Pelodiscus sinensis: one gene and its partner. Each later gene encodes a partner of the first gene's protein in a complex. Links are inferred from orthologs where the notes say so. Each region holds a gene or a part of one and is shown in the gene's direction. Other genes may lie near its edges.

The links.
Region 2: the proteins of SETDB1 (region 1) and ubiquitin-conjugating enzyme E2 E1 are in contact, whole or in part, in a crystal structure (PDB 8IYA), measured with the Homo sapiens proteins. The link is inferred for Pelodiscus sinensis from reciprocal best matches to the Homo sapiens genes SETDB1 and UBE2E1. Residues at the interface, in NP_001138887.1 of Homo sapiens: Glu868, Gly869, Tyr870, Glu871, Ser872; in NP_003332.1 of Homo sapiens: Asn125, Ser126, Gln127, Val129, Cys131, Leu132, Lys136, Asp163, Pro164, Leu165, Val166, Gly167, Ser168.

What each region holds. Positions count from the first base shown.
Region 1 is NC_134734.1:21,839,583-21,847,389, forward strand, and holds the start of SETDB1 (histone-lysine N-methyltransferase SETDB1), read left to right. Parts: upstream 1-4,628; 5' UTR 4,629-4,643; coding exon 4,644-4,788; intron 4,789-5,216; exon of another isoform or gene 5,217-5,372; intron 5,373-5,942; exon of another isoform or gene 5,943-6,195; intron 6,196-6,299; coding exon 6,300-6,516; intron 6,517-6,962; coding exon 6,963-7,135; intron 7,136-7,807. Other genes in the region: CTXND2 (cortexin domain containing 2), read left to right, coding at 4,053-4,226. UniProt on the Homo sapiens protein: Histone methyltransferase that specifically trimethylates 'Lys-9' of histone H3. H3 'Lys-9' trimethylation represents a specific tag for epigenetic transcriptional repression by recruiting HP1 (CBX1, CBX3 and/or CBX5) proteins to methylated histones.
Region 2 is NC_134712.1:189,268,438-189,276,693, reverse strand, and holds the start of ubiquitin-conjugating enzyme E2 E1, read left to right. Parts: upstream 1-5,225; 5' UTR 5,226-5,457; intron 5,458-5,646; exon of another isoform or gene 5,647-5,879; intron 5,880-8,256. UniProt on the Homo sapiens protein: Accepts ubiquitin from the E1 complex and catalyzes its covalent attachment to other proteins. Catalyzes the covalent attachment of ISG15 to other proteins. Mediates the selective degradation of short-lived and abnormal proteins.

The sequences.
Region 1 (7,807 bases):
CTGCACTGATTAGGCCTCAATTGGAGCATTGTGTCCGATTCTGGCACCACATTTCAGGAAAGACGTGCATGGAGAAAGTCCAGAGACGAGCAACAAAAATGATTAAAAATCTAGAAAACTTGACCTATGGGGGAAGTCTGAAGGAATTGGGCTTGTTTAATCTGGAAAAGAGAAGACTGAGAGGGGACATAACAGCTGCTTTCAAGTACGTAAAAGGTTGTTACAAGGAGGAAAGAGAAAAATTGTCCTCTTTAACCTCCGAGGACAGGACAATGAGCCATGGGCTTAAATTGCAGCATGAGCAGTTTAGGATGGACATTAGGAAATGTCAGGGTGGTTAAACACTGGAACAATGTGCCTAGGGAGGTTGTGGAATCTCCATTATTGGAGATTTTAAAGAGCAAGTCAGACAAACACCTGTCAGGGATGGTCTAGAAGAGAGTACTTAGTCCCGCCCACTATGCTGGCAACAAGTTCCTCTAGCCAATCCCTTAAGCCACTCATGTGCCTCCAATCTCTCCAGACTCACTGACTTTATGGTGCTCACAAGAAAATGGCTAATTATGGGCAGGCCAAGGGGCAGTCATGATAAGGTAGCAGGAGAGGACGGGTGGACCAGTCGTTAAGATGCTGCTGGCCTGGGAGAGCTGGGTTCTGTAACACAGGTGACCTCTGTGACACTTCACCAGCTGCATCAGACTTCACTGGAACAGTCACTTACACCAGTGGTCCCCAACGCAGTGCCCGTGGGCGCCATGGCGCCCGCCGGGACATTTCTGTGCGCCCACCGAGTGATCGGGACTGGTCCCATCCCCAGGCATGCAGTGCAAGGGCTTTGCTGGCCCCTGGGCACGCGGCGTATGAGCGGCACCGACCCGGGCGCCCGGTGAAGGCGCAACGCCGGCCCCGGCCCCGGGCCCACAGCACGTGGGCGGCGCATGGGCTGTGCCGGCCCCAAGCACGCGACGTATGGGCGTACCCACCCCTGGGCGCTTGGCTCCCCACCCCTGAGCAGCGCTGGCCCTGAGCACGCGGCATATGGGTGGCCCCGCCCCTAGGCGTGAGGTACAGGAGCGGTGGCAGCCCTGGGAGTGTGGCGCATGGGTGGCGCTGGCACTGGGTGCGCAGCGTACGGGTGGCCCCGCCCCCGGGTGTGTATGCGGCCCCGCCCCCGGGCCCATGTGTGGCCCCTCCCCTGGGTGCCCGGTGCGTGAGTGGCCCTGCCTCCGGGCACCCGGCAGTCCCAAAAGGTTGGGGACTACTGACTTACAGGATTTCCTTCTCTGCCACCTGCTGGTTCATCAGGGAACTGTAACAGGAAATTAAGTTTGGTGGGCCTCAGTCTATCCCCAGTGTGACGGGTGTCCACCCTGCACAGCCAGCACCCCAGCTGTCAATATCTCCTCCTTTCAGACAGATGAACATTAACAAGGATCTAAGAGTCCAGGGCCTCATGAAACTTCAGTTCAAGACCGTGCCCTTGCTACAGAATCTCTGTGCGACCATGGGCCACTCCCTTAATCTCTCCGTGCCTCAATTGTCCAGCTGCAAAACATGGTTTATAGCCTTACCTCCCACTAATGTCATGAGGATAAATATATTATAGACTGTGAGATGCTCAGCTACTGCAGTAAAGGGAGACCTATTATTATCTGCAGGGCAGTAGTGTGTGTGGTGGGGAGAAGGAAAGTCACGGATCAGGACCCCTTTGTGCTAGGTGCTGTACAAACACAGAACAGTCTCAAAAAGCTTGCCACCTTGTTCACTTTTTAGCAGGTTTGGCAAAGATGACAGGGACTGAGAGGCTCTGGCATCTGAGTGACCCCTTCGGTTGTAGTCCTCCTAGAACAGGTTTGAGGGTGGGAGGAATTAGGGATGCATTTCCTGCTGCTGACCCTCCTAGATATGTTCTCTGGATAAACAGAGGACTCCAAAATTTCTGAGACAGTCAAACTTTCACCACTTCTAGTCTATACAGGTTCTCACAGCTTGCTCATCGCTGTAGCATCTCAGCGCCTTTCAGGAGTGCACTAAGCAACGTTATTACACATCTGAAAGTGAAAATACACCAGTAGTGAAATCACATGGAAAACTACTCACCGCACCAGACATAGCCCTGGGCACATGCTTTGAGTATGAACAATCCAAAAGCCAGCAGCCAAGTATTTTCAGTGTCTCCTGGAACTAAACTACAACAGGATACAAACAAGTGACTGTAAATAAACGGAAATCTGTCATCTTGATGATGTGTCAGGTCACTTATCCAAAGTATTCCTGTGGCCCGCATCACATCGCAGCAAGCACTTCATCCTCTTTAATGCCGGTATTTTCACAGCACTCCTTGGAAAAGCTATTATTCTCATGTGGAATGGAGACACAGACACAGGCATGCTGAGGCTGCTAAAGAGCTTGTCTACCAGATCAGACCTCCCACAAAACACAGCTGCCCTTCTTACACTCCTTAGCTCAGTGGTTACATGGCCAATGCCTGCCTGAATCAGAGAAGGGACATGATCGCAGGTCTCTCCCCTCTGAGATGAGTGCCCTACCCAGTGGGTTAATGGTACTTTCTCAATCCCCACTCTTGAAGCTGGTCCACTCTGTAAATATGGAGAAATAAACATGACTTGAGCCAGAGAAAGTGACTATGTCTCAGTGTTTAGGGAAATGGGGGAGTCAGGCCTCTCTCAGCGGTACTCAGTACATAACCAATATGTTGTGACATGTCTCTCACATGGAACATACTGGGGTTGATGGGCCAAAGGAAGCGCTTGATAAGTTTATGGAGGAAATTATCTGAGAAGTTACATACAATGACATATGGCCCATCCACAACAGCTGTTCACAACTATCTCCCATGGCAGAAGAGGGGACGCTAGAGGGGGAGGCTTCTAAGTTACTAGAGAAATTTTCCCTCCAGTCAGATTGGCAGAGATGCTAGAGGGCTTTTTTCCTTCCCTCTGTGCTGTGGGGCACAGGACACTTCCCAGAACAAATGGCGGCTTTTCTCTAACTTGAATTTTCTAAATCAAGTTTTGAGGACTTCAGTAACTCAGCTGGTGATCATGGGCCTACTACAGGACTGAATAGGTGAGATTCTGTGGCCTGTGCATAGGGTCAGAATAGATAATCATGTGGGTCCCTTTTGGCTTTAAAGTCTTTGAACCTATGAGCAGCAAACTCTAGCATTTTCTGTCCTCTGCAGGTAATGCAAACTTCCTAATTTCATAGGTGAGCTCTTTGGGCCAGTGACTAGGTTGTTTACAACACCAAGCACCATAGAGACTTAATTGGAACCCACAGGTGCAATTGTAATCACCTCCCTGCAGATTTGAAACCGGGCTCTCTAGAGTTTAGTGTAGGAGCCGCTACAGCTTAAGCTATAAAGCCAGCTGGCTCTAATCTTAGGCTGTAGAGCTCACTCATTCTTTTCTCTCACTATAAGTGGTCTAAATGCCACTACATGGGACAGTGAACCACACACACGAGGGCCGTGTCTACACTGGCAAGTTATTCCAGAAAATCAGCCGCTTTTCTGGAAAAACTTGCCAGCTGTCTACACTGGCTGCTTGAATTTCCGGAAAAGCACTGACGATCTAATGTAAAATCATCAGTGCTTTTCCGGAAAAACTATGCTGCTCCCATTTGGGCAAAAGTCTTTTTCTGGAAAACTGTTCTGGAAAACGGCCAGTGTAGACAGCACTGTAGTGTTTTCCGCAAAAAAGCCCCAATCGCGAAAATGACGATCGGGGCTTTTTTGCAGAAACGCGCGTCTAGATTGGCCACGGACACTTTTCTGGAAAAAGTGCTTTTCCAGAAAAGCGTCCTGCCAATCTAGACACACTTTTCTGAAAATGCTTTTAACGGAAAACTTTTCCGTTAAAAGCATTTCCGGAAAATCATGCCAGTGTAGATGTAGCCTAGGTGTATGGATTACACAATCACAATATAAATTATGCACAAAAATAATGATTTCCATCTCAAACTCTGCTGTGCAGGTGATGGACGTGCCAGAGCTCAGAGGACAGAGCAGGGTGTGAAGGCGGAGCCCTATGGAGAGTCCGACAGTGCAGCCGTACGTCGATGTGGACAAGGGGTTTGCCATTGGGTTTGTCATCCTGATGTGCGTTTTCTTGATGGCCATGATCGTGAGGTGCGCCAAGCTGATTGTGGACCCATACAGCGCCATCCCCACCTCCACTTGGGAGGAAGAGCAGATCAATTGACTGACAATAAATAGGAGGAAAACTGGCTAATCAGTTCCTTGTGGGTGACTCTTTTGCCTCTTGTGGTCCCTGTAATCCCCCACCCCTGCACAGATAATGAAGATTCTGTAGCTTAAATTGTGCATTTGTCAGATTCTAACACTATTGATAATACCTGGTATCTTCCATCTAAGGATCTCAAAGCACTTGACAATTAATTCAGCTTCATAAGACTTTGGGGTGGTAAGTGAATATACTAAACTCCTTGTGTCAAAGTGTCCATGGCCAAACCAGGAACAGAAGTTAGGAGTCTTGACTCTCCTTATCTCCTTGACTCTCCTTGACTCCCCTTAGATTCTCCTAATCCTAATGCCTTATTGAGGAAGACAGGAGTAGCCATCTGGGCTGGCTGGCTCCGACAGCAAGCTGGAGTAGGAGATGGTTGCTTACGCCAAGCGGCCATCTCTACCGGAGCAAGAAAGTGAGCGCAGACCTGCCCACTCTGGTTTTCCTGCACATAGTCACGTGTGTACGATTGGAATGAGGGGCAGGATGTTTCTCTCCTGTGACATCTCAGCACAGGGTGAGTTCCTCAGCAAGATTTGAACGCTGAGCGCCAAGCCTCAGCCCACCAGTGCAGCGCCTGTCCCTCAGGCAGGGCTGCAAGAAAGCAGCAGTAGTAGGCTGTTATCCCCCACCCACGCGAGCCCAGCACTAGCCTCGTGGCCCATGTCAGGCAGCTACAGCCTCAGCTCAGAGGCTAGTGCCCAGGAAGCCCCTGTGAAGTGCGCAGAGTTGTGGCAGGGGGAGCCCGCACTCCTGGCGTCCATTCCCGGCTCTGCCACTGACTCGCTCTGTGACCTCGGGCAAGGCACCTCCCCGCTGTCCCTTTAAGATCTGCCGCAGCGCCCTTAACGATGTGTTCTCCCGGCGCATGCGCACGGACCCACACAGCCTGACGGACCCCTGGCCCTTTAAGAGTATATCCCAGAGGCACGCTGGGCGCATGCGCAATATCCAGCGGTGGGCTCGTGCCCCGCTCTCAAGCAGAGCTCACTTGTGCCTCGCGGGCTACCGTCACCGGAAGTGCTGAGAGGTTCCATCCGGTCTGCCCGCAGCCAACGGCTGCTCCTCAGAAACAGCCCCACCCCCCGGGCCCGGGGAGAGGTGAGGAATGTGGGCTCGGGGAACATGGGAGCGGGGGGGGGCAATGGGGGGCACAGATAGAGGGGGGCTCTGGGGGAGGGGGAAGGGGCAGTTGGGGTACAGAAAGAGGGGGGCTCTGGGGGAGGGGCAATGGGGGGTTCTGGGGGAGGGGCAATTGGGGTCCAGATTGAGGGGGGCTCTGAGGGAGGGGCAATGGGGAAGGGGCAGTTGGGGTACAGATAGAGGGGCAATGAGGAAGGGGTAGTTGGGGTACAGATAGAGGGGGGCTCTGAGGGAGGAGCAATGGGGGGCTCTGGGGGAAGGGCAATTGGGGTCCAGATTGAGGGGGCCCTCTGAGGGAGGGGCAATGAGGAAGGGGCAGTTGGGGTACAGATAGAAGGGGGCTCTGAGGGAGGGGCAATGGGGGGTTCTGAGGGAGGGGCAATGGGGGGCACAGATAGAAGGGGGCCTCTAGGGGCTACACGCGGCACAGGGTCCGACCTAGCTGGCATTTAAAAATGGCGCCGGCCGGCTTTATGCAAATGAAGCCCGGGAAATTCAAATCCCGGGCTTCATTTGCAACTCCGTATGACTACATTACCACCCCCTAGTTCGAACTAGGGGGGTAGTGTAGACATACCCATAGAGAGAGCAGGGAACCAACTTTTAAGCTAGCTTTCCACATGTATTGGCTCCCACCTGCTGCTCCCAAGGATCTGGACCGGGAGCCGCATGTAACCATTTGTGTAACTGATAAGCTCATGCTTACCTGTTACCCATGTAAACAGTTACACTCTTACATCCAAAATGTCCATATGCTTATGAGGTCTTATACTGCAGTCAGGTTGGTTAGAGTGGTACAATACTTATGCTGACATACACTGTGTGTGACCAGAGCCTTGGAAGCTTGCATGTTGTCACATATTTCTTTTATTGCTTTGGTTTTAGCAAAAATGGATTCTCAGGAAGTAACAGAGTTGCAGCAAGAAGTGATAGAGGAGTTGGGGATCTCTATGGAGGAGCTCCAGCAATTCATTGATGAGGAGCTGGAGAAGTTTGAGAGTGTGAAACAGAGGAAACAGCAGCTGGAAGAGCTGGAAAAGAGTGTGGAACAGAAAGAAGCAGAAGTGGCATATGTTGACCAGCTCTTTGATGATGCTTCAAGGTAGGTATACTTGCAGTGGCAACTTTGTGTTGAAGAGAGAGCTAGTGGAGGTAGCAAAGAGAATTCTAGAAGAGGGAACTGGGCATTAGGATTCTCAGGTTCTATTTCCATCTCTACCACTGACTTGCTGGACGATGTGTAGGCAAGTTTCATGCACTCAGATTCTTAGAAGTACTCATTAAGCGCGTGCACTTTGGTAGCTGTTTCGTGTAGTGGCTTTGAGTCCTTCGGGTTAGTTTGTCCAACCCCTAATTCTGGTTTGCTTACTTGGGCAAACTCGCAGTTCTGCTTAGTGGTGATAATGGCCACAATTGCTGAGTAACCCCTTAAAGTAGCAGGTATCAGCTGTGCAAAACCTTCTCCTCTTCCTGGGAGGAGTGGGGTATAATTATATTCATCTTGGATCTTTCTCTCTGCCCCTTTTTTCCCCCCTCAATATGTTGCAGAGCCATTGGTAAATGTGAGATACTGGTAAAAGATCTCTACTCCAAGCTGGGCCTTCAGTATCGTGAGAGCAGCTCTGAAGATGAAGAATCAGCCTCCAAGCCCATGGAAGTGATCGAAATCCCAGATGAGGATGACGACGATGTTATGAGTATTGATTCGGGTTGGAAGCGCAGTTCAGTGTTCCACGTGACATTGGGAAGTGGGTTGGAGGAGGGGGTGGGGAGATAAAAGCATATCCCTGCAAAGAATATAACTTTTTAACAGGGTTCAAAAAAGGAGCTAGATACATTCATGGAGGATTGGTCCATCAATGGCTATTAGCCAGGGTGGGCAGGGATGGTGTCCCTAGCCTCTGTTTGTCAGAAGCTGCGAATGGGTGACTACTGTCTGGTTCATTCCTTCTGGGGCACCTGTCAGGACAGGACACTGGGCTAGATGGACCATTGGTCTGACCCAGTCTGGCCGTTGTTATGTTTTAATATGAAGGGGGATGGGGAGTTGGTCAAAGAGCATCCTCAAGAATATGCATTAGGACTATTGTTTGTAAGGCTGTGCAGGACCGGATGGAGACTCCCATGGAGCCTGTGGGAAGTGTAATAAGAGTGGTGCTTGTGAAGTCAGTGCATTTGTTCCCTAATTGAAAGCAGTTAAATTGGGAAGCTCTCATATGACATTCCCCTCCCTCAGGAATTGTGCAGAGAAGCAGCCAGAAGGACTAGTTAGCTCATCCCAAAGCACAGCTTTTGGGTGGGGAAGGAGAGTGAAATGAGAACGTATCCTGGGGAATCCTCTCTCCTCAACAAATAGGCAAAATTTGGTCAGGAGCTGAGATCCTAAGTTCTCA
Region 2 (8,256 bases), on another chromosome or scaffold:
TACCATTTTCCACCTTGACTTGAGGCCTTCTAACATAAGTGGCATCCCTTGAAATGAGGGGCAGTTGAGCAGCAGTCCTCCAACTCCGGGGCAGATGACCATTTTGCAGGGCCCTGGGTAGCACAATTTCGCGGAGCCCCCCTTTGCCACGGCGCATGCATGGTGGCACATGGCGCATGCGTGGGGCTTCTTGAAGCGCGGGGCCCAGGGCGGCCGCCCCACTCGCCCTGCCCTATATCCGCCCCTACTCCAACTTATCAATGAGGAGAAAAGATGAAAGGGAAGAAGGGGGAGAGGGGAAGAACAAAGATATGTAGGAAAAAATACATTGATTGAGAGGAGAGAGACTAAGTAAAAAGATGGCCTGACTATTGTACCCTCTCTCAATAAATAACCATTGGGTATAGATGGTGAGTGCTAAATTCTACCAAATGGCCTTCGCTACATGGCGTAGATGAGTTACAAAACATTATATCTCTGCCGCATAGGTGGCATCGGCATCCACAGGCAACTGAGATTCAGCTGGTCCAAACACTTTTAACAAAGTCAATGATTTTCCTTATCCAGCCAAGCCTTCATTTATTAATTTAACATTTTGGTCATAAGTAAGGCCTTGTTAAAATAACTGTCAAAGACAAGCCCACCTCTAGTGCCATCTCCAGGTCAACTGTTCCTGTATGACATGACATATTCTCTGGAGAGAGTAAACTGTCCATGAATAATTTTACATTGGAAATTAAAAGAAGGTTTTTAACCATCAGAAGCATGGATAGTGGTGGGAGGGGGACTAATTAGTATTAAGATAAAGTTAGATACATTTTTTAGTGGAATTGTTTGATGGAGTTGCTTTGGAGTCCTTTCTGGTTCCTGTCCTAAAATGTCATGCTTCAAGGCTTCAGCTAGTCACCTGAAGGGGTAAAGAAGGAATACATTTTCACCCAAAATATTCCGGGTGGGGTTTTTTATGGCCATGGCCATGGCCATGGATGGGATCAGCTGATACTCTGAGGTAGTACTGAGAATTCTCCTTCTCAGCTGCTGAGTTGATGAGTCTGGTTCACATGTACAGGGACAAACTAGTTCAAGGTCAGGAACAAATTTTCCTCAGATTATGTAGGCTGTAACCTTAGGGGGTTTTTTCACCTGCCATTGGAGGATGAAGTACAGTACAATAAAGGTCATTTGCTAGGATCTCAATCAATTCCATGCCATTATAGAGGCCTTGGGCACTAGTGGCACTTTGGCCCTAATGTCCTAAGGGCTATAATACTTTTGTCTGATTCTGTTTGTTGGGCTTGGTGTGGATGTGGTGAGATTCTCTCTAAGCTAGATGATCTGATGGTCCCTTCTGATCTTAACGTGTACGACTGTACAACTGTCAGGGAAAATTCAACTTTTCTTTATGCTGGAGTCTCAGAGAGGCAGGATTCCGTGGGTTTGAGAGTAGAGTTGAGTGAACAAAGCAGCAATGGGATATTATGAGATGTACATGTCATAAAATGGCTCTTTGTGAAGATTTAACCTGAGATCACCAATACCACAGACCCTATTGTTTGAGCTAAGAGAAGAGTTATTTTGTCTGTGAGATAGTACTATGGAACTGACGGAGCCAGCCGTGACTAGAGAGTGATGTGACCACATGCATCATCCTGTTTTACATGCCCTCCTGTGAGATACGTTTCTGATGAGCAGGGCTTGACAAACCCCGGCAAGAGCCACTTGCCAGCCCCACACTGCGCAGGTGCCAGACCGGCACTGCGCATGCGCGAAGCACCAGTGAATGTGGCGCTCGGAGCGACCGGCTGAAATCTACTTGCCACGGGCAAGTAGATGCAGCGGTTTGTCGAGCCCTGCTGATGAGAATCTGAGATCCACAAAAACAAAAGTTCCATATGGAGAGCCATTTTGGAGGAAATTGTAAATTCATACACAATGGAGAACATCTTTGTTTCAGGATGCTCTTTAGCTTTTGATACTGAAATTCCAGGACTCAGTCCTCAGTGACAGCTATGGCGAGTGTCTAAATATGCAGCCATGAAGTGTTACAGAAGGTAATTTGATTAAAACATGAGACTGGAAGTCTATTTTTTAGAATTACTGAACATCAATAGGGTTATCAGGAAGGCGAAAGTACAATCAGAATTGCAACTGGCAAGGATGTGAAGGATAACAAGAAGGCTGTGTCTAGACTGGCAAGTTTTTCCGCAAAATCATCTGCTTTTGCGGAAAAACTTGCCAGCTGTCTACACTGGCCGCTTGAATTTCTGCAAAAGCACTGACGATCTCATGTAAGATTGTCAGTGCTTTTGCAGAAATATTGTGCTGCTCCCGTTCGGGCAAAAGTCTTTTTCCTAAAAACTTTTCCGCAAAAATGGCGATTGGGGCTTTTTTGCGGAAAAGCGCGTCTAGATTGGCCACGGACGCTTTTCCGCAAAAAGTGCTTTTGCGGAAAAGCATCCTGCCAATCTAGACATGCTTTTCCGAAAATGCTTTTAACGGAAAACTTTTCCGTTAAAAGCATTTCCGGAAAATCGTGCCAGTGTAGACGTAGCCAAAAGGTTTCTATAGGCATGGTAACAAGAAGAAGGTGATCAGAGGATGTGGGGTCCCTACTGGATGAAGGAGGTAACCTAGTGACAGATGATGTGGAGAAAGCTGAAGTACTCAATGCTTTCTTTGCCTCTATATTCACGGACAAGGTCGGCTCCCGGACTAATGCGCTAAGTGACACAAGATGGGATGAAGATGGACAGCCCTTGGTGGATAAAGAACAGGTTAGGAACTATTTAGAAAAGCTAAATGTACACAAATCCATGGGTCCGGACTTAATGCATCCGAGGGTAATGAGGGAGCCTTTGGCCATTATCTTTGAAAAGTCGTGGAGATCGGGAGAGATCCCGAATGATTGGAAAAAAGCAAATGTAGTGCCCATCTTCAAAAAAGGGAAGAAGGACGATCCAGGGAACTATAGGCCGGACAGTCTTACCTCGGTTCCTGGAAAAATCATGAAAGGGATCCTTAAAGAATCCATTTTGAGGCATTTGGAAGAGAGGAAAGTGATCAGGCATAGTCAGCATGGATTCACAAAGGGCAATTCATGTCTGACCAATCTGATTAACTTCTATGATAAGGTAACTGGCTCTGTGGATATGGGAAAGTCAGTGGGTGTGATATATCTTGACTTTAGCAAGGCTTTTGATACGGTCTCCCACAATATTCTTGCCAGCAAGCTAAGGGAATGTGGATTGGATAAATGACAGTAAGATGGATAAAAAGATGGCTAGAAGGCCAGGCCCAGCGGGTAGTGATCAACGGCTCGATGGCGGTCGGTTTCTAGCGGAGTGCCCCAAGGTTCAGTTCTAGGACCAGTTTTGTTCAATATCTTTATTAATGACCTGGATGAGGGGATGGATTGCACCCTCAGCAACTTTGAAGATGACATGAAGCTAGAGGGAGAGGTAGAGACGCTTGAGGGCAGAGATGGGGTCCAGAGTGACTTAGACAAATTGGAGGATCGGGCCACAAGAAATCTGATGAGGTTCAATTAGGACAAGTGCAGAGTCCTGCACTTGGGACGGAAGAATCCCAAGCATTGTTACAGGCTGGGGACCAACCAGCTAAGTAGTAGTTCTGCAGAAAAGGACCTGGGGGTTACAGTGGATGAGAAGCTGGATATGAGTCAACAGTGTGCCCTTGTAGTCAAGAAGGCTAATGGCATATTAGGGTGCAATAGGAGGAGCATTGCCAGCAGATCCAGAGAAGTGATTATTCCTCTTTATTTGGCTCTGGTGAGGCCACATCTGGAGTATTGTGTCCAGTTTTGGGCCCCCCACTGTGAAAAGGATGTGGATGCATTGGAGAGGGTCCAGCAGAGGGCAACCAAAATGATTAGGGGGCTGGAACATATGACCTTTGAGGAGAGGCTGAGGGAGTTGGGTCTGCTTAGTCTGCAGAAATGAAGAGTAAGGGGGGATTTGATAGCAGCCTTCAACTTCCTGAAGGGAGGTTCCAAAGAGGATAGAAAGGGGCTGTTCTCAGTAGTGACAGATGACAGAACAAGGAGCAATGGTCTCAAGTTGTGGTGGGAGTGGTCCAGGTTGGATATTAGGAAAAACTATTTCACTAGGAGAGTGGTGAAGCACTGGAATGGATTACCTAGGGAAGTAGTGGAGTCTCCATCCCTAGAGGTGTTTAAGTCTTGGCTTGACAAAACCCTGGCTGGGTTGATTTAGTTGGGATTGGTCCTGCCTAGAGCAGGAGTCTGGACTTGATGACCTTCTGAGGTCTCTTCCAGCTCTATGATAGTATGATACTATGATCCAAACTCAATGGGAAGTCAAGAGAGCTGCAAGTGTTGAGCATCCCAGAAAATCCTGGGAGACTAGACAGATGGGTTTTGATTTACAAAACATAGATTGGTGGGAATAATCATACCCATCATACTTGATAGGTGTGTTGTGCAGTTGTAATCATTTGTTTGTAGATTGCTTTGAGATCCTCCATTGCAAGGAAGGATAGAAATCATAGAACACTAGGACTGGAAGGGACCTTGAGAGGTCATCGAGTCCAGTCCTCTGCCCTCATGGCAGGACCAAATACTGTCTAGACCATCCCTGATAGACATTTATCTAACCTACTCTTAAATATCTCCAGAAATGCAAAGTAATACTAATGATTATGATGCACAGTGGTGATTTCATTTTCCTGCCTACTACACTATATCACATAGTTATTGTCTGGTCATCTCTTGATATACATTTGGAAACTAAAAGCACTGAACCACATTCAGCGGTTATATTAACCTGCTGAAGTCAACGGGGGAGGAAGAAGGGACAGAAATAAATCTGGTGCAGCGTTTCCATTTAGATCTATGGCACTATGCCTTGGCCCATAGAAAAGTGACTGACTGCTGTCTTCTTACCATGGGAGAAGTACAGTGAATCACTCTTGAAGTCAGTGTTATTTTTTCTTAGGGCTGTGCAGGTAGCAAAAAGATCATCTGCAAAGGCTTTGCAGGGGGAGAAGAAGGAGACAGGGGGGAGAAGAAGGAGAGAGGGGGGAGAAGAAGCCACTGGAGATGCAGCATCATCTGGCCCAACTTTATTTAATGCGGTGCCCCAGCTGGGAGGCTCCCCCTTTGCGGATCCTGTTCCATTCCCAAATCCAACCTGCTTTTCCTTCCTGTAGCTGGCCAGCCTGCTGCCGTCTCTCCGCAGGAGCTGCTGACATCACAAGCGGCCCTTCCTTTTGTGTGGCGCTGCGCGCGCGGGGGGCTGCGTGGGGACAATGGAAGCCTGAACCCGGGGCGCGGGCAAGGGGGAAGCAGCTGCTGCGGCGGCCGAGGATGAGTCAAGGCTGAGCGAGGGGAGGGGAGAAGCGGCTGCTGCGTGCGGGCCGGGACAGGTGAGAGACGGGGAGGAAGCTGCTGCCGCTGCCGCTGCCCTAGGACTGAGCCAGGTGAGAAGTTGCGGCGGCGGGAGGGATCAGGCCGGGGGGAGCTGCGGCTTTGGGGCCGAACCAGGGGGGGGAATGGGCAGGCGCCCGGCTCAGCCTTCGGGCAGCCCCAGCTGCTCCCAGTGCCCCCTAAGACCGGGGCAGGGAGCGGAGCCCCGCGGCTCGTTATTTCTCCCTCTCCGCGCTCACACACTCGCCTCGGCAGGCGCAGGAGCCTCCCTCCGCGGCCCCCGCGCCGCCTGCCCCCTGGGGGTGAGGGCAGCCTGCTCCGGCAGCCCCGGCTCGCCGAGGGGCCGGGGAGGAGCGGGGCAGCCATTGCCTGGGTAAGAGTTGCTGTTGCAGCACTTCCGCTTCTCTCCCAGCGAGAGACACGAGTGGCCAGGCCCAGCCGCGCCGCGGAGCAGCCGCCAGACACAAAGGGAGAGGTACGGAGCGGGGCCCCCTGCCCGCAGCCCGCACCCCCCGGCCGGGCCCCGGCCGCAGCGCGACACTCGGGCCGGGGCCGGGGCCGGGCCGGGTTGGCAGGGATCCCCCCGTCCCCGCAGGGCCCGCGCCCGGGCCCCAGTCTCGCTATCAGGGAGCTGAGCAGCGCTGTCCTGGAGGTGTGCCCCGTGCACGCCCTGCCCCCCGCATCCCTTCTCCCCCCGGCTCTGCCCCCCGCATCCCTTCTGCCCCCCAGCCTTTCTCCCCGTCACTGCCCTCCCGAGAGTGCCCCCCGGCACTGCCACCCCCGCATCCCTTCTCTCTCCCCCCGCATTGTCCCCCTTTGGGAGTGCCCCCCCGCATCCCTTCTCTCCGCCCCCCCCCACCCGCACTATCCTTCACATCCCATCTCCCCTTCGTCTCCATTGCCTCCCCACATCCCTTTTCCCTGCCGACCACTGCCTCCACCCACATGTCTTCCCCCCTCCCACGCTTCCCCCCACATCAGCACTGTCCCCTCCTTCCTCATCCCTTCCCCCCTGAGTCTGCTCCCCCCCCATCTCTTCCCTCTCCGCATCACTGCCCCCTTTCCTCCTCCCCTCCCCCCAAACCGACACTGCCCTCCCCCCATCCCTTCCCCCCTGGCACTGCTCTCTTTTCCTTCCCAGTATTGCTCCCCCTTCCTACATCCCTTCCCCCTCTTCCTCCCAGCACTGCCTCCTCACCCCCTCCATCCCTTCTCTCTCTTCCCAGCATCCCTCCCCCATCCTCATGCCATTCCCACATCCCTACTGTCCCTCTCCACATCCCCCCATACTTCCTCCCTGCACCCCCCCCCACACTTCCTCCCCGCATCCCTCCTCCCTATCTCCCTGGCATTGCCCCCTCTCATACCTTCCCTGCCCCAGCACTATTCCTCCCCTACATGCTTCCCCTCATGCACTTGCTGCCCTCCTCTATTCCTTCACCCTGGGCCTGCTCTTTGCCATGTATTCCACCTTCCTTAAGACTCCTCCAGCCCTCCCTCCTGCATTGCCTCTCACTGTCCCTCCCCTATGCACATGCTGCTGCTCCCCCCCCCCCAGCACTTCCCCCTCAACCCTCCTCCATCCTGGGCCTGCTCTCCTTCCCCATTCTTTCCCCCAACCCTGGGCTTACTCTTCCCTCCACTCAAGGCCTTCTCTCCCTCCTCCATTCCTTCTTCCTCCATCCCTCCTCCCCTCTCCTGGGCCTGCTCAACCCCAGCCTTCATTCCAGCACTACCTTCCCTCACATCCCTCCCCCATGCACATGCTGCCCCCCCTGCTGCTCCTCCCCTGGAACTGCCTCCCCTGATCCCTTGTCCTAGCCCTGCTCTCCCCTCTCTCTCCTCCTATGTACCCACTGCTCCCTAGCACTGCCCCCCACATCCCTTCTCTCCCTCCCTGCCACTCTCCCTTCCCGCCACTGCTCTCCCTTATCCCTCCCCCTTGTGCACGCACTGCCCTCCCCCCCATCTCCGTTCCTCCTCCCCCAGCTCTCCTCCCTCATCCTTCCCATGCACATACTGTCTGTTCCCTCTGGCCCTGTCTCCCCACACACCCTCCCATCAGCATCCCTTCCCACCTCTGCACTGTTCTCCCCCTGCATCCCTTCCCCTGGCACTGCTTTCCACATCACTTCCCCCCTACTGCACATACTATCTCACCCCCCCCCAGCACTACCCTTCGCATTCCTTCTCCTGGCCCTGCTCTCCCCCATCATCTCCCCTCCCCTGTATTTCTTCCCTCCCTGCTACACTATACCTGGCCCTGTTCTTCCCCATTCCTTCACGCTGATCCTCCCTGTCTCTCCTGTACTCCTCCCCCCAGCACTGCTCCCATTCTTCTGTCCCCCTGCACTGCTCCCCCTTCCCTTCACACAGTCCCCATCCCTTTCCACTTGCACTGCCCCTTCCCCATTCCTTCCTCCCTCCTTCCTGAGCACTGGTTCCTCCTGCCCTTCCCCCCTTCATTCCACCACCTCAGGCACTGCTCCCCCCCATCTCTAGCCCCCCAGTAGGCACTGATTTCCACTTTCCCCTACACATACCCCATCTTCTTTGCCTTGTGTGGGCACTGATCTTCTACCTATACCCAGACATTCATACCTCAACAGGCAGTAACCTCCCACCCGTGCCTGTCCCTCCCCCTTGCAAGCACTGACCTCTCCCCCTCACACCTTGCAGGCACTGATCTCCCTCCTCTTCTGCTGCAGGCACTCATCTCCTCTCCCCTCATCCCCTGCAGGCACTGATCTTCTCTGCTGTCCTTCCTCCTACTCCTTACCCCCTGCAGGCCGTGATCACCCCCACTTACCGCCTGCAGTCCATGATTTCCCTCTCTGTCCTCCCTCTCCCCC